Arabidopsis thaliana: one gene and its partners. The protein of the gene in region 1 interacts with the protein of each later gene in a pairwise test. Each region holds a gene or a part of one and is shown in the gene's direction. Other genes may lie near its edges. The genes, in order: TRX5, AT3G52640, AT2G38330 and PTR5.

Region 1 (3,746 bases):
TGTGGCGTGTGTGGAAAGAAGGTGGAACCGGGTTCTTGTACTGGGGTGCAAATTGCTATGAGAAGGCAACGGTTCCAAGCGCCGAGGTTATTTTCTTATCCTTAGTTCTGTTGTAAATGTTTCTTGATCGATTGCTTCATGATATTATATAACCAAATGAATAGGTAAAGTTTAGGCGCGGTCTTCCTCCTGGTGATGGAGTTCTTTACTACCCCGGTGAAGTTTTCTCATCTTCTTCAGAGCCAGTTGCTTCACTTAGGCTAGAGCGCCTTCTTAGTGGCTTACAGGTACGTCAACTTTATAGTTTTACCAATCAGATAACAACGAAAAACTGTTCCAGTTGGCTTATTTGGAGAATGAATCAGGATTATGAGTACTTGAAGCTGTATGAGTCAAAATACGGAAGAGAGGAAGCGATGGGGCTATTGGAGAAGACAGGGGTGTACACGGGGCCGGAGCGCTACACTTTGGAACATAGACCGATCGATGTATTGCGAGGAGAAGTGTACAACACATGTAGACCATCTTGAGTAACCAGATCGTTTAGTATCTATAAACACTCTCGGTTAGCCCTAAGTTAATAATAAAAGAACATAACAAGAAAACTCTAACAATGTCTAGATTACCAGTGAAAAAGGTTAATTAGTATGAAAATAATAAAATAGATAGATTTGCTTTGTACTTCTGATTCTTTAATTTGTTGGGAAATACTGTATCTGAAAAAGCTCATTTTATGTGGTGCTAGGTTGATATCATTCATCATAGTCACGTATGAATGGAAGGGCACAAGACATAATCATCCAACAAAAAAGGATATAAAACCTACACTGACTAAAAATTAGGAAAAAATGTTATTTAATCCCCAACTTTCAAAAAATGGCCATTTTATTCGTCAACTTCGTATGCGGTCGTTTAAAACATGAACTAAACGTTGACTAACTTTTAAAACATGATCATTCGTCGACCAGGCCAAAATAGACATGATGTTATCAGTTATTAACGGAACTTCTAACGTCTGTTATCATCTGTTAACGACTTTATTAGTCAAGTTTTAAATTGTGGTCATTTTAAACATCAACTTGGCCATTTAAAACATGAACTAAACGTTGACTACCATTTAAGATATGAACAATTCGTTGACCTGACCAAAATAGACATGTTTTTATCAGTAATTAATAGAACCTAGAAACCCGTTATTATCCGTTAGTGACTGTTAATCAGTCTAAAACGACGTCGTTTGAGAATAAAATTAGTGTCAAAGCGTAAACACACATACAGCCAGCTCTCGGTTCTATCATTAGTGAAAGAACATTACTAGAATTTGATTTATTAGAGGAATAAAGAAGATTGATCAAAAACAGCTTGCATTATTATTCAAAACATAAATCTAGCATATTATAGATAATATTTTTCTTATTGTCTTAGATAAAGTTTCCATTCAACTTTGCACGTCTAAAAGCTCGGAATAGTCCACAAATTATCACATAGAAAAAAACTTATATTCGTGCCGACAAAAACAAACGTTACTTTTTTATATCTGCAAGGACGAGAAAAGAACGGATAAACTCATATATCGTGCACACAAAACATGCGTGTCTTCTACATCTAGAACTGTCGTTACTCGTTACCATCATCACGCCGTTGACCTAGACTCATGCCTATTCTTTAATCGTTTAATATAAACCGTTGGATCCCTTCACACTCCTACGCGTCAAGATCGAACTCATTTTAGGAAAATAATTAAAAAAAAAGACCGAGAAGAGGTAGAGGTATAGGTGGTCAAGTCTTGCCTATAAAAGCTGATCCCAACAAGAATAATTCTTTCATTCACCAAAAAAAACTCATCAATCAAACAAAACTCTTAAAAGCTTAAGAACAAATAATAAAAATGGCCGGTGAAGGAGAAGTGATTGCTTGCCATACCCTCGAAGTTTGGAACGAGAAGGTCAAAGACGCCAATGAATCCAAGAAACTGGTACTTTTCTCTTCTTCTCCTCTCTAGGGTTTCTTCTTCTATTTGATTTGATTACTTTACTTAGGGTTTTCAGTTTTCTTGATCTAGTGGTAAACTGGTAATTCATGTTAGATACAAAACCTTGGTTTTTATCATGTTCATGTACCATGTCTTGATTTGGTCTGAAATTTGATAGAAACTGGTATTTTCTCGTCCTGTCTAGGGTTTTTTTTGTTTTTTAATTTGAGTTGGTTACGTTACTTAGGGTTTAGGGCTTTCTTGGTTAGTTAGCTTAATGGTGAATGATGTTCGAGAAACGGTTGCTTTTGATCCCGTTCTTGTCCCATATCTTGCTCTGGTGGTCCCAAATTGATAGAAGCTAGAACTTTCTCTTGTCCTGTCTAGGGTTTTGTTCAATTTGATTTGATTACTTTACTTAGGGATTACGGTTCGTCTTGATTAGCTACCTTAGTGGTGAATGATAATTGTATCCTGATATGGTCTGAAATTATAGAAACTTTACTTTCTCTTGTTATGTCCAGGGCTTTTTTTCAATTTGATTTGATTACGTTATGGTTTAGGGTTTTCTTGATTAGTTAGTTTAGTGGTGAATGATGTTTGTGTTCTGATTTGTTCTGAAATTTTGATTGAAACCAGATTGTGATAGACTTCACAGCATCATGGTGTCCACCTTGCCGTTTCATTGCACCAGTGTTTGCAGAGATGGCTAAGAAGTTCACTAATGTTGTCTTCTTCAAGATCGATGTTGATGAATTGCAAGCTGTTGCTCAGGAATTCAAAGTTGAGGCAATGCCTACTTTTGTTTTCATGAAAGAAGGCAACATCATTGATCGTGTTGTCGGTGCTGCGAAAGATGAGATCAATGAGAAGCTGATGAAGCATGGTGGTCTTGTAGCTTCTGCTTGATTGATTTCAGTTTCTAACTCTTTGCATCATAATAAAGTTTTTATCTTTCGTATGAAATAAAAGTGATGCATTGCTACTGCACATTTGTATTATAACTATGTTGATTTTTCGATTACTGGTTTGTTATCTCTTGGCTTCAACCACGAACACGAAAATAGCGACACACATTAAGACTGGTTTTAAACACGATAAGAGAGCGTAGGTTGAAAATATGTAGTTATGAACAGAGCAGTGATTAGTTCTCTGATTTCCACTATAAATGTGTGAAAATGTTATGTAATACTATGGAAAAATCACTTTCAACAGCTCATATTTCTCCATCTACGTCACGTCTATATCTCTTTAAGTTCCTTGAAGTTTTATCCAACGTTTCTCTGTTTTTATCCTTGAACAAGAACTGAAACAGAGAAAACAAGAGAAGATGAAGCTGACCTGTAGATTCAAACATTTCCCTATGCTCTTTAGATCCAAAGCCAGCCGCTCGTTCCCTCTAGGCGCGTCAGAGTAGGCCTGTCGATGGGACTAGCATAGACACATAGTGACTCTACTTGAACAAGCGTCAGACTGCATACAGCAGGTTAGAGCTGGTAGGACTTGGTTAGTGATCCACTACAAAAATAATCCATATCAATAGCACACGAGGATAGATCAGTTTTCCCTACTGCAATAAAAGATGAGTTCATAGTTCATATTAAAAATGAGTTCATAGATGCGGCACAGAGAGATGATTCGAGAACAAGTGAGGAGATAACGGATTTAACAATACGGTTGAAGGAGGCTTATATAGATGAAGAACAATATTGGTACCAGAAAAGTAGGAGTTTATGGATGAAGGTTGGGGATAATAACTCAAAATATTTCCATG
Region 2 (7,893 bases), on another chromosome or scaffold:
GAGAAGAGGGCGATGAAATGCTCAACAGGTGAAACAAAAAAAGATAAGAAACGAAATGACCCCTGAGAGCGGATAAAAACCATGATATCATAGGCCTTGGTTAGATGCAAAGAAGGTTAAAATATTCATGGCAACAAGAAAGATAAGAAGGGCTAAAGTCAAAATAGTATCTTTGCTTAGAAAACTCCAGCTCCATGTTAGAATCTCCCACAACAGACATTGTTCAGAATTTGCAAGTGATATTTTTTATGCTGCCAATCTAACCTGTTAAGAGAATCCTCAGCTTATAACTACAATTCTATTTGATTATTTCACACAAATTGACCACAATGATAGATACAACCAAGAACAACCCAATACACATACAAAGCTATAACTCAGAGAAATGTCAATCAAAGGCGTGTTTAAGCTAACTTAGCAATCATTGGAACAAAAATGAGAGAAAGATTCAGTTTTTAATTAAGATAAGAAGAGTTACACAAATCCCAATTTTGGATCCCCAACCAAAAAAAAAGATTCACGAAAGGAAACGAAGAGAGGCGCAATGAGATGAAAGAAGAAAGAGCGAGAAAGTACCTGAGAGAGCTGCCGGAAGAAAACCCTAATTTTGAGAATTACGGAGAGGATGAAGAAGTGTCTATCTTCGCGCACCTCAGGTGTTGAAAAATATGTATATGTGTATGTTGTATTGATATGACCTAAAAGATGCCTAAGCGAGACTATCAAGGAGGTGTAGTCACTTTTTATTATGATGCGACCAATCTTATATTACGGCTTATTACCGATCTTAATATACGACAAATTTGATTTTTATGCAAAAAAAACTTTCAAGTTGGATGAGAATTTGCGCCTTATATTTTTTTTACACATTGTTTTCAAAATTAACACTAGTTTTTTCTTAATTAACATGCAGTTTATACATGATCTACGTTATTTGTTAAAATCACATATGGAATAATTTCTTTAAAATTATAGTTTTACCATATACAATATGTTTTTTTTTTTATCAATTTTTAGCCAAAACTTGCCTATATAATCTAGCAAATAATACCCTAATCAATCATAATTAGTCTACGATTTTGTAAAAATGAAGCCATAAAATGTAATACAAATTTCTTACAAAAAAAAAAAGAAAATGTGGAATGAAAATATTTTTTCTTTTTGTATAAACAACTAGATTATAACCCGCGGTACACCGCGGAGACAATTATTTTTTAAAATTAGTATATATAAAAGTCTGTAAATTATATTTATCTATAAAATATTTATATTTTATAGTTTACAATTGTTATTAAGTAACATCCTTCCAAACCCGTTCTGCCAAACCCGTCCCGTTAAAAAAATTTGTAGTACACCGCTAATTTAAAAAAAAAAATTACGGGATTGCAATTATATTTTAGTTTGTCAAACAAATTTTTGTTTTAAATAGTTGTCGAAATCTAATTCAAATTTTGGAGAAATAAGATTTAGTGAACTGATAAGAAATGTATTTATGTGCGTTTTGCTCATTTTAAGGGATTGCAATTGTATTTTGGTTTGTCAAATATTTTTTGTTTTAAATAATTTCCGAAATCTAGTTCAAATTTTGGAGAAATCTGCGTGATATATGGGATTGGAATATATTTGGAATATTTTTTGTTTGTTAATCAATTTATTGCTAAAAGAAAATAAATAAATAAAAGCCAGTGGCAGCCATTGTAAATAAGTTCCAAATCTAGGATTTATTTTACAAAATGGCTGCAAAAATATATATATAGATAGGTTCACTTAATTACTTTTAATATAATAAAATCCGCACAAAATGTGAATACCTCAATTTTTCTATATCTTGGGAATTTTGAAAGACATAAGAATCAACACGAAAAATCTCAGTCTTTGACTCAGACTCCCACCGCGTAATTCCGAGCTAGGTTTCCATTTCTCCGGCGAATCGGACCTCTCTCTCGCTCTCTCTTCCAATTTCCCCTTTTTTCGTTTCCCAGGTACTGCTTCTTCCGATTCTAACATTTTTTGATCTTTTATAAAATCGGTCACATTATTCTTGATCGTATCTGCAGCGATGATTTGCAAGTAGCTTCCGCTAATAATCGCAACTCTCTGACGGATGCTATGGCAATGGGACTTATTCGTCTTCTTTCTATAGCTTTTACACTTGTTCTACTTTCAATCCTTCCTCTTCATCTCTCTCTCGCTGGTGAGTTTCCTTTCCCCGGATAAAATTGGTGATGAAATGTATTAGTTGATAGAACATTGTAATCTGAAATTGAGGTTTCGTTTTGTGTAGATGAGATAACATCTATTGAATCTGTACCTGACCTTCAGAAGCTAATGTATGTTGCTGTTGATGGGTTTCCTTGTGTACGTCTTCTCAATCTGTCTGGAGAGATTGGATGTTCAAGTAAGCTTCTTTTGGGCCTCTCAGCTACATGATTTTTATCTGTTGATGAGGTCCTCTAAGTTTTATGTTTATAAAAATACTCAGATCCTGGAATAAATAAAGTGGTGGCTCCAATCATAAAATTAAAGGACGTTAAAGATTTGGTTCAGCCACACACTATTTTGGTTACAGCTGATGAAATGGAAGATTTCTTTACCAGGCATGTCTCCTTTTTCATTTACAAAACTTTCATGACCTCTATTCGATTTTGTTAGTGATCTCTTAATTTGTGGAGTAGTGCTTTCCCACTCGCTTGTAGTTCTCATTTTGGTGTTTTATTTAACGTCAAACAAGATTTAGCTTTTGGGTGCCAAATCAGCCTTTTTGGAAAGGCAATTACATCCTTAAGAATAACGTATATCTAAGAGTTTGTTTTCATTAGTACTTGAGTATTTAAGGCAAACACTTTTAGTAATCTTCCATGACAGTGAAACAACAGATTGGAATGAGTATACCCTCTTATCACCATTTTTGAAATCTGCTAGAAATGTAGTCACTTGGTTGTTGGTGCATGGATTAGGTGTTTAGTGGAACCAGTAATTCATTGGCTTTTTCCGCTTTATTTTCATTCGACTAACGGAAAGTAGGTATACCTCCAAACACTTTACTGTAGAACCCTGCAGTCTGGCTTACTTCTGGCATTGTTCATTAGACTTGTACATCGCTTAGACACTCTATTCAGTAGAAATAACAGGACCACTCCTCTTTGTGCCTTTTCCAGGGTGTCAACTGATTTGAGCTTTGCTAGCAAAATTGGTGGTGTTCTAGTTGAATCAGGATCTAATTTCCAACAAAAGTTAAAAGGTACTATGTCCATCCACATATTTATGATTCTGTCAACTTGAATGGCTAATTCCTTAAATTGTCTTGAGTTCTTAATTCCCTTAAAAATAGTACTTGATACTTCTTATCTATGTTGATGGCGTTAGTGTTTCTTTCTTCTTTATTGTAGGGTTTTCTCCTGATAAAAGGTTTCCTCAAGCCCAGTTTTCACCCTATGAAAACGTTGAGTACAAATGGAATTCAGCTGTACGGTAGCGTAAACTCTGTCTGGATCTTTGAAATTACTTCTTCCTGTCAACTCTTTTATAGTGGGTTGGAAATTGTTTCAATCAGTTATCACCAAATCCATAGTCAAGCATTTCCGAGTTATATGCTGTTTTCTTCTGGAACTAAACTTAACTACCTGCTAACACACAAATACCATAAATCCTTTTCTTATGGTATAATTTTACTGGAGGAATGCATGTATCTGCCTAGATGATCACTTATAAAGAAGTTCAAAAATCTGTTGCATATTTATCTACCTTAATTAAAAGATAGTTCCTCTTATTGTTATCTACGGAGAAAAAATGATTTTGATTCTTATGAGTAGTTGCAGGCGATAAGTCTCTAGCCATTGACCATTGCTAAAAAATGATTATTTGCAGGCATCAAGCATCATGTGGAGAAATTATAATTTTCCTGTGTACTTATTGTCAGAAAGTGGCATATCAGCTGTGCATGAGGTAATCCTTCAAACTTGCATTCTTTTGCAAATTTTAAATGTGTCTATTTGTGTTGTCAGAAAAGCGAAATTGATGACATTTTTAGAAATATGAGGAAATGAACTCAAGGCTTAGAGAGGCATTATGACTGTTGGTCACTCTTAAGAGCAGTATTGCTTGATGAAAATATGGCTGTAAAATGATGCATGAGATATGTATCTCCAAGGTCATATGAAATGAATACTCCTAGTTTAAACTGAATTAGTCTGCAGAAATTTTTCTAAGCATTGATTACCCATTTTAAATAAGAATACAAATTTGGTCCTGGAATGTTTGTCTCATCCAGCTGAAGGCAACTCCCAGCTGCATCTGTAGATTTCAAATGCATGTTGCTTTCCATAGCCTGTAATTGGACTCAACCATAGCCTTTCCATTTGTCTTGTGGTAGTTGCCTTTAAACTGCTGGTCAACTATGTCATTCTATAGTATGTTGTTGTCCTTACCAGATGAGGTTCTGTCAAGAAGCTAGCTTTATGTTTCTGTTGTGTTGGTAGCAATCTAAAGTGTATAGTTTATGTGGATAGCTTCACTTTTTTCAGGTTATCGACTACATATTTACATCCTATTATATTTGCGCAGATCCTTTCCAAGAAAAAGATGAAGCATGGAACATATACCAGTGATGTTGCTGAATTCAATATGGTTATGGAGGTATATGGCTTTAGCAATCTTGCTCACTGGAACGTTAACCAGCTTTATGGATCTTCACTTTGACTTAGATTATGACACCCAATTCTCTATTTTTTGTATTAGACTACCAAAGCTGGAACACACAATTCGGAGGCTTGTTTGCAGGAGGGAACTTGCCTCCCATTGGGCGGATATAGGTAAAGATTTAGGTCTTTATTACTGTCTGATCTAATGACATATGAAAACCTTTTAAAGGATACGTTTCGTTTTCTAACAACTTTGTTATGAAGGACAGTGTTTGGTCCTCGCTTCCACCAATCAGTGTTTCGTCTTCCAACAATCGCAAACCAGTTGTGCTGACTGTGGCCTCCATGGATACTGCATCATTTTTCCGTGACAAAAGTTTTGGTGCAGATTCACCAATATCTGTGAGAACTTGCTATTTTCTGCTTTTGGGTTGATCTAGAATACATTTATTTACTCTTCTTATTCTTCTTTTCCCGATTTATTGCTCAACACGTTCTCCTTCTTTCAGGGTCTGGTAGCTCTTCTAGGAGCAGTTGATGCTCTTTCTCGAGTTGATGGTATTAGTAATCTCAAAAAACAGGTGCCAGTGTACCATGTGATTTAGTGTTATTTCACGCTTTTTGTTGTTTGCAAGCTTTAATACATGTAAATCGTAAATGAATGCAGCTTGTGTTTTTGGTTCTGACCGGAGAGACATGGGGTTACCTTGGCAGCAGGAGGTTCTTACACGAATTAGATCTGCATTCAGATGCTGTCGCAGGCCTTAGCAATACTTCGATTGAAACGGTAATCATTATTGTTTTGGTCTGACAAAGTTGATAGAGACAGCTAGCCTTATGCATGAAATCCCTGTGGAAAAAGTTGCCTGTGTTTCATCGTTGCTGCAACTTATTTGTTTCTTAGTAGCGCAGAAAGCAAGTTTAAGTGTTCCTTGTGAAATTGAATGTTCACAATTTTCTAAATCTAAAGATCGAATTCAGATTGCTTCTTCTATTATCTAACAGGTGCTTGAAATAGGATCTGTTGGAAAAGGTTTAAGTGGAGGGATAAACACCTTCTTTGCTCATAAAACAAGGGTGAGAAATTCCTGATATCCTGAAACTCTTGCATAATTCGAATTCGTTCGATAATGTGAAAACTGTCATAGGCGACTTAACCTCCACTTTTGGTGTTCTGCTTTAGGTTTCTTCAGTTACAAACATGACACTGGATGCTTTAAAGATAGCTCAGGATTCACTTGCATCAAAAAACATCAAAATTCTTTCAGCAGATACTGCAAACCCTGGAATACCCCCATCCTCCTTGATGGCTTTCATGAGAAAGGTACAATATATATTCCAAGTAAATAGATGGGAAGACAATTCAAATGTGTATTCGCACTATACTCTTTGCATATACTTCACCTTCAGTTGATCATGAATATGACAGGAGAAGTATACTTGCTTACTATTATGTGATTCTGAACCAGATTGCCTAGAGTGAAAAAGGTATAACATCATATTCATTGTTGCAGAACCCTCAGACTTCAGCTGTTGTACTTGAAGACTTTGATACCAACTTTGTGAATAAGTTCTACCATAGTCACCTCGATGACTTGTGTAAGAAGAGTCACAGCCTGTCTTTCTCTTCTTTTCGCTCCAAACCCCATTTTGCACTTTTGATTCCTTTCTGGTGTTGTATTGCAGCAAATATCAACTCCTCGTCTGTAGTAGCTGCTGCTTCTGTTGTGGCCCGAACACTTTACATCCTAGCAAGTGACAACAAAGATACAAGCAATTCAGCTCTGGGATCCATCCATGTCAATGCTTCTTTCGTTGAAGAGCTTCTAACCTGTCTTTTAGCTTGTGAACCGGGCTTATCTTGCAACTTGGTAAAAGACTATATTTCACCGACAAACACTTGTCCAGGCAACTATGCTGGCGTCATCCTCGGAGAACCTTCCTCCAAACCTTACCTTGGTTACGTCGGTGATGTTTCTAGATTCCTATGGAACTTTCTGGCAGATAAAACATCTGTCCAAAAGGGAAATACAACCTCAGTTTGTTCAAAAGGAGTCTGTAGCAAAACTGACGAAGTGTGCATCAAAGCAGAGAGCAACAAGGAAGGAACATGTGTTGTCTCCACAACCAGGTAAACTCTGTGCTTGGAAATTGCAATTTGGTTTGCATGCTCAAGTTCTCTCTTATGTCTCAAAATGAACCAAAATCTTAAGTCTGGTAGGCATTTTATAGGAATTATTAATTAGGATAGGCTTCAGAAGTGGAGTGTTTTTAGACTTGGGAGAAAGTCTATCTTTAGTTTGTTGACCTTTGAATTGAAGCTATCATCATTTTCTTCTTCCCCTGACCTGATATGTTGTATGTGACCTAACCAATTTGCTGTCTGAGCATAACACATTAAGTTCTGGTTTTGGCAGGTATGTTCCAGCTTATTCAACTCGATTGAAGTATAACGATGGAGCTTGGACAATTCTACCACAGAACTCATCAGATTCTATGGGGATGGTTGATCCAGTGTGGACCGAAAGCAACTGGGACACTTTAAGGGTGCATGTGTACACAGTCCAGCACTCAGCATACGACAATGCAGTCCTCGTTGCAGGTATTACAGTCACAACGTTGGCTTACATCGGAATTTTGGCTGCTAAGTCAATCATCACAAAAGCCTTGAAGCAGGACTGAGACTTGTATTTAATTCCCTCTCCTCTCGGCTCAAAATTACTTGTCAGTTTCCGTAAGACATTGCCTAACCAGCAACACCACCAATACCTTAGTGGTAGAAACCTTTTTTCTCAACCAAGGTTATTAAAATATGTCTTTGAGCTAATTCATGTTAAATTCTTTATTACACTGGCAAGAAATTTATAAGAAAAAAGTTTGCTTTCACAAAATCCTATAGATAAAGCAACAATACAATTCTAAATCCAGAGCAAAATCTTAGCTGCCAAGAAGAAAATAGTGTTTTGTTTTGTGTTTTGGTACCTCAATTAACAAAACAGCAATTTAAGCTTAGTTGTGATAGATTAAGAAGTTGTTACATATACTAAGTAAATAAAATCATAGAACCAGAAAGTGGTGAGACATCAAATACATATAAAGCATAAGCATCTCTACAAAATGTTTTAATGGAATCGCTTCCATGATCATAATCATCATCACAACATTAGATGAACAAGTGCTTGAACTCCCCATTTGCTAGCTTACATAGCTCGTTGTAGTTCTGTGTATCTGCAACCAAAAATAACAACCAAAA
Region 3 (5,282 bases), on another chromosome or scaffold:
TCATGGTGAGTTTTTTGGTCGCATATTCTTGGTGATTCTTCTTCTACGTTTTCACTTTCTTCTTCAGAGACCTTATTAATATGTTAATTGCATGAATTTATGTAACATTCAAGAAAAAGAGATCGAATACAAGAAACCGGAAATTTAATTTCTAATTTGAATTCTATGCATGTTTGTTTCTTTGCCAATTTAGTACGAATATATTTATGGTCCGGAGTTCTAACCAAAGATAGTTGCTCTGTATATAGAAGTTATACATCTCGCTTGTTTAAACTAAATAACTATTTAGTTTGTCTTGGTAGTCCAGTGACTTTCTGCAAACATTGGGATTTATAATATAGTCAAAACGTTGGGATATGTAGTATTCATTTTCGTTGTAAAAATCATTATATTTTGCAAAGGTTGCAACGTAAAACGTTGTATTGAATTTAGGAGAAAGTAGCCATTTACAATGAATTTTAGTGACAAACTGTTGTATACAGCCTGTGCCACTAAGTATGTCTATATCTAAATTTGGAATGGATGATAACCAGTATTGGTCAATAATGGATAATTTGGTATTTAGAATTACTAATTTGGTATTTTAGTGACAAACTGTTGTATGGAATTTAGGAGAACGCGTTCCCAAGCTATATATTATATGTATTTCATTCTTTCATATGTTATATTATGAATTGTTATAAAAAAGACCAATGAGCAACGGTTTAAGGTTTAATCAGTAATCGATCCGACCAATCATATACAAGTTCCTAACACATCTTCTAACTACTGAGTAAAATAGTAATGCTATTACAAAGGTTTTTTCTTTTCAAAATACAGCCTAATGCTACTACAAAATTCTAATGTTATAAAATAATCATAGGAGAAGTAAACCCCGGTATTTAATTAATACCTTACAAACTTACATTATTGATAAAGTTGAATGAAGAGTTATATGGTCCATTTAGTATTATTTACTTAATATGATACTAGTGTTAGACGTGTTACTGTATTTCAACGTGCATAATCAGGTTGTTCAAAAAGAGAGAGGATAGGTCTTCTTCTTCTGTAATTTGCTGGGACCGCAAGTCATGTGAGGCTGCTCTGCTGATGCTGCACGGCGTCGCAACTCTCTCAATAAATTCTTTTAACTAACGCTCCAATTTTCGATGTAAATTGGCTGACTTCAATTCTATGCCTTACTCTTGTACTCTATGTTTCTTTATCTATTAAAATCCAACTCTGCTTTTGAACCCAAAAAACAAAACAAAAACCAACTCTGCTGAATCATGAAACACGTCCTTGATCTTTATTTTTATTTTTTCCCAATATATGCTCTTAAGAACTAGTTATTGCTTTTGAACCCAAAAAAAGAATTCTGAGTTTTAGGATATCAAATGATCTTACAACTTTCTATATCAAGATTCTTGAACACTAGATATGCGGATTTCAAATATACTCCCAAAAATCAAAATATGCGGACCTATAATCCAAATTTGGATCCATTCAAAAAACAACTAAACAAAATTTTAAGTGTATAAAAAAAATGCAAATCCAAGTCACAAGATAACTGGAGAAAGAGATATTTCTTTTGAGTTGTTGCTAAATTGAGAAAGTGAGTGATAATACACGAATCAAACTCATGACTTACATATGAGAGTCACGGCACAACAAAGAAAAAAGATGAAGCTATCTTAAAGATACAAAGTGTAACATTGGCAGAAAAAAAAACAAAAAACAAAGTAACAAACAAACAAGCTATTTAAAAGCCCAATAAAAAGCCCATTAAAGGCCCATCCATAAGGTACAGCTAGTTTAGACATGTGACCGTTTAATCAGTTAGTGAGTAGAGATAGATAAAAAGAGTGAACATCAACATGTGGCTCTCTTTCTTCCTCCTCCGCCGAGATTTTTCTCCGTCTCTCGTTCTCCGCAATGGCGGCGGTCGCTACCTCCTTCTGTTTCTCTCCCCATCGATCGCCGTCACGTTTTGGAAACCCTAATTCATCCATTCGAAGAACAATCGTCTGTAAATCATCTCCTCGCGATGAATCTCCAGCCGTCTCCACTTCTTCTCAGCGACCGGAAAAGCAGCAGAATCCTCTGACTTCACAGAATAAACCGGATCATGATCACAAACCGGATCCTGGGTTCGTACCTTAGCCTAATAATGCTTCTTCTGTATTCAACTTTGAATGGTTTCTAATGTATTTGATTTTTTTGGGTTTAGGATTGGTAAAATTGGAATGGAGATAATGTCAATTGCATTACCTGCTGCATTAGCTTTAGCTGCTGATCCTATAACATCTCTTGTCGACACTGCCTTCGTTGGCCATATTGGTAAATACTTACTTTTTGCTTGGTTTCAACAATTTCACATTTTTCGAAAGTTCACATTTTTAACATTCATATGTGTAATGTGACAGGTTCTGCGGAATTAGCTGCAGTAGGAGTGTCAGTTTCTGTATTCAATTTGGTGTCGAAGCTCTTCAATGTTCCTTTACTAAATGTCACAACATCGTTTGTTGCGGAGGAGCAAGCAATTGCTGCTAAGGATGATAATGATTCTATAGAAACAAGTATTTTACTTTCCTTAAAGCTTATAATGAAAAATGTTTTTATTGTTTTCTTCAAAGATTGTTTCTTTACTTTGAATCTGTTGTTTATTTGTTGGTGTTAAAGGCAAGAAAGTGCTGCCTTCGGTTTCAACTTCATTAGTTCTTGCTGCTGGAGTTGGTATTGCAGAGGCCATTGCGCTATCTCTCGGGTCTGATTTCTTGATGGATGTCATGGCTATACCTTTTGTAATGTCTCTAAGCTCACGTTGAACTTCTTTTATATAAGCTGTTATCTTTGAAGTTTTGTATAGCTGATCGCTCTTCTTTCTCGGTTTGTAATTTTTTTAGGATTCACCAATGCGGATACCAGCAGAGCAGTTCCTCAGACTTCGAGCGTATGGTGCACCACCAATTGTTGTTGCATTGGCTGCGCAAGGAGCTTTTCGAGGTTTCAAGGACACAACAACGCCTCTATATGCCGTTGGCAAGTATTGCACAATCATCTATTTTTTTTGTATTTATGCATGAATGGATCTGAGGAAATAAATAGTATATGCGCATTAGCTCACTAGACCGTATATATGCATTAGCAGTTTCACATACATGTTTCTAATATGGTGAACTCTATATCAACAGTTGCGGGGAATGTACTTAATGCGGTATTGGATCCAATCCTGATATTTGTCCTTGGTTTTGGTATCTCTGGTGCTGCGGCTGCTACTGTGATTTCTGAGTATGTCCAAAAATGTGGTAATAGACTCGTTTTCTAGTAAAGCATATCTATCTTAATTTGTGGCTTCTTATGTTTCTCACTTGTCAACGTTTCTTCAGATACTTGATTGCATTTATTCTTCTATGGAAGTTGAATGAGAATGTAGTTTTGCTCTCTCCTCAAATCAAAGTGGGAAGAGCCAACCAGTACCTCAAATCAGGTAATTCCTTAAAATTTTCAAGTTTTCTTTAAACGATTCAGAAAGGCTACTATATGAAATGTATTGATTCATGCTTAGGTGGGCTTCTCATTGGTAGAACGGTGGCTTTGCTTGTGCCATTCACATTAGCTACTTCGTTAGCAGCTCAAAATGGACCCACTCAAATGGCTGGCCATCAAATCGTCTTGGAAATCTGGTTGGCTGTCTCTTTACTCACCGATGCTTTAGCCATTGCTGCACAGGTCTAATATCTTTTGCAAATCATCTTCGAAACAGACAATCTCTACCAAGATTTACTGTGATATAAGAATCCCATTAGCATGATCCAAGATTACCTTTTGGGGAGAAGATTTTCACTTATATTTTCTACCTCTATTTTCAGAGTCTTCTTGCCACCACTTACTCTCAAGGAGAATACAAACAAGCCCGGGAAGTTCTCTTCGGAGTCCTTCAAGTTCGTATTCATAATTCATTACATCCCTAGTTTATATCCTACCCTATATATTCGATGTTATAATGTACAATTGCAATCTTTTAAGTAGGTAGGTTTAGCAACTGGAACTGGTTTGGCTGCTGTATTGTTCATCACTTTCGAACCATTTTCAAGCTTATTCACAACGGATTCAGAAGTTTTAAAGATTGCTTTGTCAGGGACCTTAGTAAGATCTTATCTTTTAATCCAGAAAGAGTTTGAAAAGGGTAGTCTCAGACAATATCTAAATAATGTTGGCTGGATGCAGTTTGTGGCTGGATCTCAACCGGTGAATGCTCTAGCGTTTGTTTTGGATGGGCTCTATTATGGTGTCTCTGACTTCGGATTTGCCGCTTATTCTATGGTCCCTTTTCCTTCTTCATCAATTGGTCGTTTGATTCTCCCTTTTCTTCACCTGGAAAAAGTTGATTATTTCTCATTTTGGAACAGGTGATTGTCGGATTCATATCTTCCTTGTTCATGCTTGTGGCTGCACCAACGTTTGGCCTTGCCGGGATCTGGACTGGTTTGTTCCTCTTCATGGCGTTGCGGTTGGTTGCTGGAGCCTGGAGGTAAACAATTAATTAAAAAGACCGTTCTAGTTTCAAGTTTTCAACCCATCCGAAATTTTTCTTAAAAGGATACTGCGTCATGTTTCAGATTGGGGACAAGAACCGGTCCATGGAAAATGCTATGGTCTGCTCCAGAGAAGCCAGAATGAAGCGGATCACTGTTTTTTGCGGTATGATGCGTGACTCTTAAGTTAAGATAAATGAAAATGGAGTAAACTAACAATGTAAAAAACATAGTCTCATAGTCATAGTATATTGATGCAGCATAAATCCTAAGCTAGAATCTGAAATACTCAAAATATGAATCGAATCCACCTCCCTGGTGATAACTGGAGCTTTGAGGTTCATTATACAACAATCCGTTATCCAATTTGAATCGATCATAGCTGTAACCTTCCTCTGATTTCACTGCTGGGTTCACTATTTCATTATCAGTCATAGGATTCTGAGTCTTGTCATGGCCAAGCTCAATAGCGTCTTCATTGTAGACTACATAGTCTTTTCCACCTTCCGTTTCAATCACGCCATTACCGGCTTTGTTAGTTTCCAACCAATAGCCTCCCGAACTTTCCGCCTCCTCGTCCTTCTTCCTTCCCCCACCCAAATCTTCCGGGAAATTTAACCTGGCATAGGGTCCGTACATGACACTAGCAGCTCTGTCGTAAGCCAAAGCAGCTTCAGCTGCAGTAGCAAACGTGCCAAGCCAAAGCCGTTTACTACGACTAGAGTTTGCACCACGGTGACTCACTGGTTCACGTATCTCAGCAAC
Region 4 (5,021 bases), on another chromosome or scaffold:
CGCGGCATGCATTGCTCAGCTCAAGGAAGGATACATCAAGGGAGATCGGACGAAGCACATTCTGCCCAAGTTCTTCTTCACGCATGACTTACAGAAGGATGGTGAAGTTAAGGTGGTGCAAGTACGTTCAAGCGACAATTCAGCCGATCTATTCACCAAGGCATTACCAGCAACGACATTGAGGAAGCTCGCGCATCAGGTTGGGATGCGGAGGCTTAAGGACTTATAGAGATGACCAATTCAGGGGGAGTAATGCGTGCTGTACTCTTTTTCCTCACTATGGTTTTGTCCCGAAAAGGGTTTTCCTAGTAAGGTTTTAATGAGGCAGCATTCCCCTAGCGTATTACTGAGATCCCGTTGGCATCTACACGGTTATGTCATCCAAGGGGGAGTGTTGTAAACCACTTGTTGGATGGACTCCATAACCGTGGCCCATGTCTTTGGAGGATAGGTCCGTCAGCCCATTGGTGTGACGGCCCATCGACCAGTCGGCCCATCAGTCCATCGGTCCATCGGCCCGTCGGCCTGTCGGCCCGGTCCATGGAGAGAAGCCACAGTCAGTCCGGCCCGTAGGTCCGGCCCATGGAGACTATACTTAGGTCGGTCATATACTTAAGTAGTTATGGGCTTTTGTAACCTAGCCCATTAGACATGTAACCTCCTCAAGTATGTATATATATGTGATGTAACCTCATTATGAATCAATAAGAAACAAGTTAGTTCTTCACAGCATCAATCGTAGAAAACAATCTGAGAAAACATAACAGAAAATTATATCAATTTTTTTTCTTAAGTACTATTAAACTTATTTTCATAGTTCTATAGTCTCTCAACTTTTGTTTTTTGTTTTTTCGTGGTTATATTAACATCTATTACAACTTGTTTACGCATTTTGTTTATTCCATATATAGGTCACAGATAATGCGTGTGCATTAAGTTTTCAAACAAGTTTATTAGTTCTACTAATCAGGATATTAACAATTCTTTTGCGTGGTAGGTTTGTTTAACCTCTTGTGAGTTTATGGTTAAAAAAGTTAATCTTTCTCTACCACTTAACACTTCTTTTGTGTGGTAGGTTTGTTTTGACTAGAAGTTGTAGAAATAGAAAAGTTGTACAGAGATTCTCAATCTGCTATTCTCTTGAGTCGTTGAAATAAATTTCAATTCTATGATCGATGTGTCATGTAACCGTTCCATGAATCTGGACACAATCACAAAAAGAATCCATAAGTTATTTGGTGTATTAATTATCCGTTTTTTTTTTGTTCACAATATTGATTATCCGTTTATAGATATGTTTCCTTTTGATCAAAAACAAAAAGATATGTTTCCATAACTATTTCAATTTTTTGTTAGGAATTAGGTAATTTTGTTATAATTTTTGATTCTTTAACATATAAATGAAAGGGATTCAAACCTACACAACCACAATCTTTAATGATACATTACTATGAATAGGATTTAGCATCCCCACATCTTCTCAAAGATTCAAGAAAGTTATTCAAAATTCAACAAAATAACAAAGAGAAAGATAATAAATGCGAGGACGTAACTGGTAAAATCACGAAACTGCCTGATTCACCTTCACTATTCAGAGTGTTTCCTTATAAATATCTATCACACGGCGCAAAACGAAACGCTCAAGCCCTCAAGTTTATCTTCCTCAGCCGTGTAGTTCAAATCCCGGCACAAAACTCTGTCGTCGCTTCCCCGAGAAAAGGTAAACGAATCTTTCACCAACGATTAACCGTTTCTAAATATTAAATCTGGTTATCTTTGATCTGTCTTTTTTTTGATTCTATGAACAATTTCTGTTACTAGTAATCACACATTTTCGGGAGGAGTGTTCTTAGATTTATTTTCATTTTCAAACGAAATTTGCGATTGTGTGTTTTCGAGTTTTCAGATCCGTAGCTTTCTTCGACGAAATTATATATGTATGTATGGCTTCCGATTTTGTCAGTTTGTGTCTAGAAAACGCGTTATGTTTTTGTCATGATGCATGTAATGGACATTACTTTGGCTATTGCTCATAAAATAAATCGATGTTTTTCAATTCTGTTTCTTCGTGGAGTCACACATATATATATATGGAGGCTTATCTGTCTAAATCCGATAATTAGTCGTAGAAATATCGTTGTGTAGATTTTACTTGGCAAAGAAGTCATCTTTTGTCCTTTTTCTCAGTAAATCAGGTCAAAAATTCTCACATTGTTGAAAACTCAGGGGTCACACTTAAACTTGTCGAAACCAAACAACAATGGAAGATGACAAGGATATATACACAAAAGATGGAACTCTTGACATTCACAAGAAACCAGCCAACAAGAATAAAACTGGAACCTGGAAAGCTTGCAGATTCATTCTTGGTATTGTTCAAACCTTTAATCTTTTGTTGTAATAAAAACCAAATCGTTTTTTTTTGTTCTGAATTTGATTTGATTGTATCTATGAGCAATTGGCAGGAACTGAGTGCTGTGAAAGATTAGCTTACTATGGAATGAGTACTAATCTCATCAACTATCTCGAGAAACAAATGAATATGGAAAACGTCTCTGCTTCTAAGAGTGTCAGTAACTGGTCTGGAACATGTTACGCTACTCCTTTGATCGGTGCTTTTATCGCCGATGCTTATCTCGGTCGATACTGGACCATCGCTTCCTTTGTCGTCATCTACATTGCCGTAATAATTTACTCTTTGCTCTGTTTGCTCTCAACGTGAACAAAGAAAATCACAGAATCTTGAAACTGTTTGCTCTTTTTTTTTTTGTTTCTGTAATTTAGGGAATGACGCTATTGACGATATCAGCTTCGGTTCCTGGTCTAACACCAACCTGCAGCGGAGAAACCTGTCACGCAACAGCGGGTCAAACCGCTATTACATTCATAGCGCTTTACTTGATCGCACTCGGAACTGGAGGGATCAAGCCTTGTGTCTCTTCCTTTGGTGCTGATCAGTTTGATGATACAGACGAAAAAGAGAAAGAGTCTAAGAGCTCTTTCTTTAACTGGTTCTACTTTGTGATCAACGTTGGTGCAATGATTGCTTCCTCTGTTCTCGTTTGGATTCAGATGAATGTTGGTTGGGGTTGGGGTTTAGGTGTTCCCACCGTCGCAATGGCTATAGCCGTCGTGTTCTTCTTCGCCGGAAGCAACTTCTACAGGCTGCAGAAACCAGGAGGAAGTCCTCTCACAAGAATGCTGCAAGTCATTGTGGCTTCATGCAGAAAATCTAAAGTGAAAATTCCTGAAGATGAATCTCTTCTCTACGAGAACCAAGACGCCGAAAGCAGTATCATAGGAAGCCGCAAGCTCGAACACACCAAAATATTAACGTAAGGCACAAGCAAGTCCGGTCTGTAATTTTGTGTTGTTAGGTTAACTTTTGGCTCACTTCAAATCATTTCAGGTTCTTTGATAAGGCAGCAGTGGAAACAGAGAGTGACAACAAAGGAGCAGCTAAGTCGTCTTCATGGAAGCTATGCACAGTGACACAAGTAGAAGAGCTCAAAGCACTGATCCGTCTCTTACCGATTTGGGCCACAGGGATTGTTTTCGCTTCGGTTTATAGCCAAATGGGGACTGTGTTTGTACTACAAGGCAACACACTGGACCAACACATGGGACCTAACTTCAAAATCCCTTCCGCATCACTCTCCTTATTCGATACGCTTAGTGTCCTGTTTTGGGCACCTGTCTACGACAAGCTAATTGTTCCCTTCGCCCGGAAATACACAGGTCACGAACGCGGATTCACACAGCTTCAACGGATTGGAATCGGGCTTGTAATCTCCATCTTTTCTATGGTCTCTGCGGGAATCCTCGAGGTCGCAAGGTTAAACTACGTTCAAACACACAATCTTTACAATGAAGAGACTATCCCGATGACGATTTTCTGGCAAGTTCCGCAGTATTTTTTGGTGGGTTGCGCCGAGGTTTTCACGTTTATAGGTCAGCTTGAGTTCTTCTATGACCAAGCTCCTGATGCTATGAGGAGTCTCTGCTCGGCTTTGTCGCTCACCGCAATTGCATTTGGGAACTATCTGAGCACATTTCTGGTGACATTGGTCACTAAAGTCACGAGATCAGGTGGAAGACCAGGCTGGATCGCTAAGAACCTCAACAATGGTCATCTTGATTACTTCTTTTGGCTATTAGCTGGTCTGAGTTTCTTGAATTTCTTGGTCTACCTTTGGATTGCTAAATGGTACACTTACAAGAAAACGACCGGGCATGCGCTTTGATGATACAAAAAACATAACGATGGCTGCAATCACGAATTCTGATTTGAAATTAGTCGCAATGTTTGATAATCTCGTTACTGAAACATATTTACAGATATTATTTTTATTTTTCATAAACAAGCAAGTTTGAAGTTCTTTGCTTGAGTTTAGGTTACAAGATACTACTTTTGAATTCGACTATCCTTATTGCTTTGTGGTTGCAGAGTTCAAGGGTTTGTATTTAACACAAGCGTTGTGCTGAGATTCCGCTAGTGAAACCATTTCTTTGATTGCAACTAGAATAGTAGTGATGAATCCGTGATCAAACGCTCTGAGACTCGAATGCAAGCTTTCAAAGAACCTGCAGGATTGATCAGATTAGAGAGACAGTGGAGAATGGAAATACAAGCAAAGGTTGGCTGATTTTGAATAGAGAATGAAAAAAGCAAATAAAGGGAAAAAGGTAGCAACAAAGATCATATAACTTGATTAATAGACCCAAGTTTGAAACTTAACACTTGGGCTTGATACGTCAAGCTACTTTTACATTTGCTATTGCATCGTAAAACAACAAATCTCAGTGATGTTTACTCAAACCACCAAGACCGATGTGTGTGCTTATGCTGCTCACTTCAAAAACCATTTGTTATGTTTGTTTAAGCTACTTAAAGATTCAATCTCTATGCAAGCTTGGTAATGCAGACACAGAGAAAGGCCTGGAACTCAGACTTAGCTAGTTGGTGAAGTTAAGAGAAGATGATACTAATGCGGTTTGATTTTTGATGCAAAGTACGAGAA

What was found.
Region 2: the proteins of TRX5 (region 1) and AT3G52640 interact in a protein complementation assay, tested with the Arabidopsis thaliana proteins (one large-scale study listed by BioGRID).
Region 3: the proteins of TRX5 (region 1) and AT2G38330 interact in a protein complementation assay, tested with the Arabidopsis thaliana proteins (one large-scale study listed by BioGRID).
Region 4: the proteins of TRX5 (region 1) and PTR5 interact in a protein complementation assay, tested with the Arabidopsis thaliana proteins (one large-scale study listed by BioGRID).

What each region holds. Positions count from the first base shown.
Region 1 is NC_003070.9:17,074,399-17,078,144, reverse strand, and holds TRX5 (thioredoxin H-type 5), read left to right. Parts: upstream 1-1,727; 5' UTR 1,728-1,888; coding exon 1,889-1,975; intron 1,976-2,611; coding exon 2,612-2,881; 3' UTR 2,882-3,203; downstream 3,204-3,746. Other genes in the region: AT1G45150 (alpha-1,6-mannosyl-glycoprotein 2-beta-N-acetylglucosaminyltransferase), read left to right, coding at 1-86, 165-287, 366-530.
Region 2 is NC_003074.8:19,514,507-19,522,399, reverse strand, and holds AT3G52640 (Zn-dependent exopeptidases superfamily protein), read left to right. Parts: upstream 1-1,855; 5' UTR 1,856-1,982; intron 1,983-2,057; 5' UTR 2,058-2,109; coding exon 2,110-2,194; intron 2,195-2,284; coding exon 2,285-2,398; intron 2,399-2,482; coding exon 2,483-2,597; intron 2,598-3,158; coding exon 3,159-3,241; intron 3,242-3,389; coding exon 3,390-3,466; intron 3,467-3,867; coding exon 3,868-3,945; intron 3,946-4,563; coding exon 4,564-4,635; intron 4,636-4,737; coding exon 4,738-4,811; intron 4,812-4,909; coding exon 4,910-5,042; intron 5,043-5,149; coding exon 5,150-5,221; intron 5,222-5,307; coding exon 5,308-5,427; intron 5,428-5,645; coding exon 5,646-5,717; intron 5,718-5,823; coding exon 5,824-5,964; intron 5,965-6,154; coding exon 6,155-6,771; coding exon of another isoform or gene 6,772-6,775; exon of another isoform or gene 6,776-7,057; coding exon 7,058-7,322; 3' UTR 7,323-7,527; downstream 7,528-7,893. Other genes in the region: AT3G52630 (Nucleic acid-binding, OB-fold-like protein), read right to left, coding at 7,804-7,868. UniProt on the Arabidopsis thaliana protein: Probable subunit of the gamma-secretase complex, an endoprotease complex that catalyzes the intramembrane cleavage of integral membrane proteins such as Notch.
Region 3 is NC_003071.7:16,062,657-16,067,938, forward strand, and holds AT2G38330 (MATE efflux family protein), read left to right. Parts: upstream 1-1,846; 5' UTR 1,847-1,914; coding exon 1,915-2,129; intron 2,130-2,209; coding exon 2,210-2,319; intron 2,320-2,405; coding exon 2,406-2,558; intron 2,559-2,661; coding exon 2,662-2,783; intron 2,784-2,885; coding exon 2,886-3,021; intron 3,022-3,173; coding exon 3,174-3,270; intron 3,271-3,368; coding exon 3,369-3,469; intron 3,470-3,547; coding exon 3,548-3,711; intron 3,712-3,851; coding exon 3,852-3,923; intron 3,924-4,011; coding exon 4,012-4,128; intron 4,129-4,209; coding exon 4,210-4,305; intron 4,306-4,391; coding exon 4,392-4,513; intron 4,514-4,601; coding exon 4,602-4,662; 3' UTR 4,663-4,781; downstream 4,782-5,282. Other genes in the region: DREB19 (Integrase-type DNA-binding superfamily protein), read right to left, coding at 4,791-5,282.
Region 4 is NC_003076.8:60,480-65,500, reverse strand, and holds PTR5 (peptide transporter 5), read left to right. Parts: upstream 1-1,564; 5' UTR 1,565-1,720; intron 1,721-2,187; exon of another isoform or gene 2,188-2,226; 5' UTR 2,227-2,260; coding exon 2,261-2,369; intron 2,370-2,465; coding exon 2,466-2,683; intron 2,684-2,784; coding exon 2,785-3,335; intron 3,336-3,409; coding exon 3,410-4,244; 3' UTR 4,245-4,484; downstream 4,485-5,021. UniProt on the Arabidopsis thaliana protein: Peptide transporter. Mediates the transport of di- and tripeptides. High affinity transporter. Involved in the uptake of peptides during pollen germination and tube growth.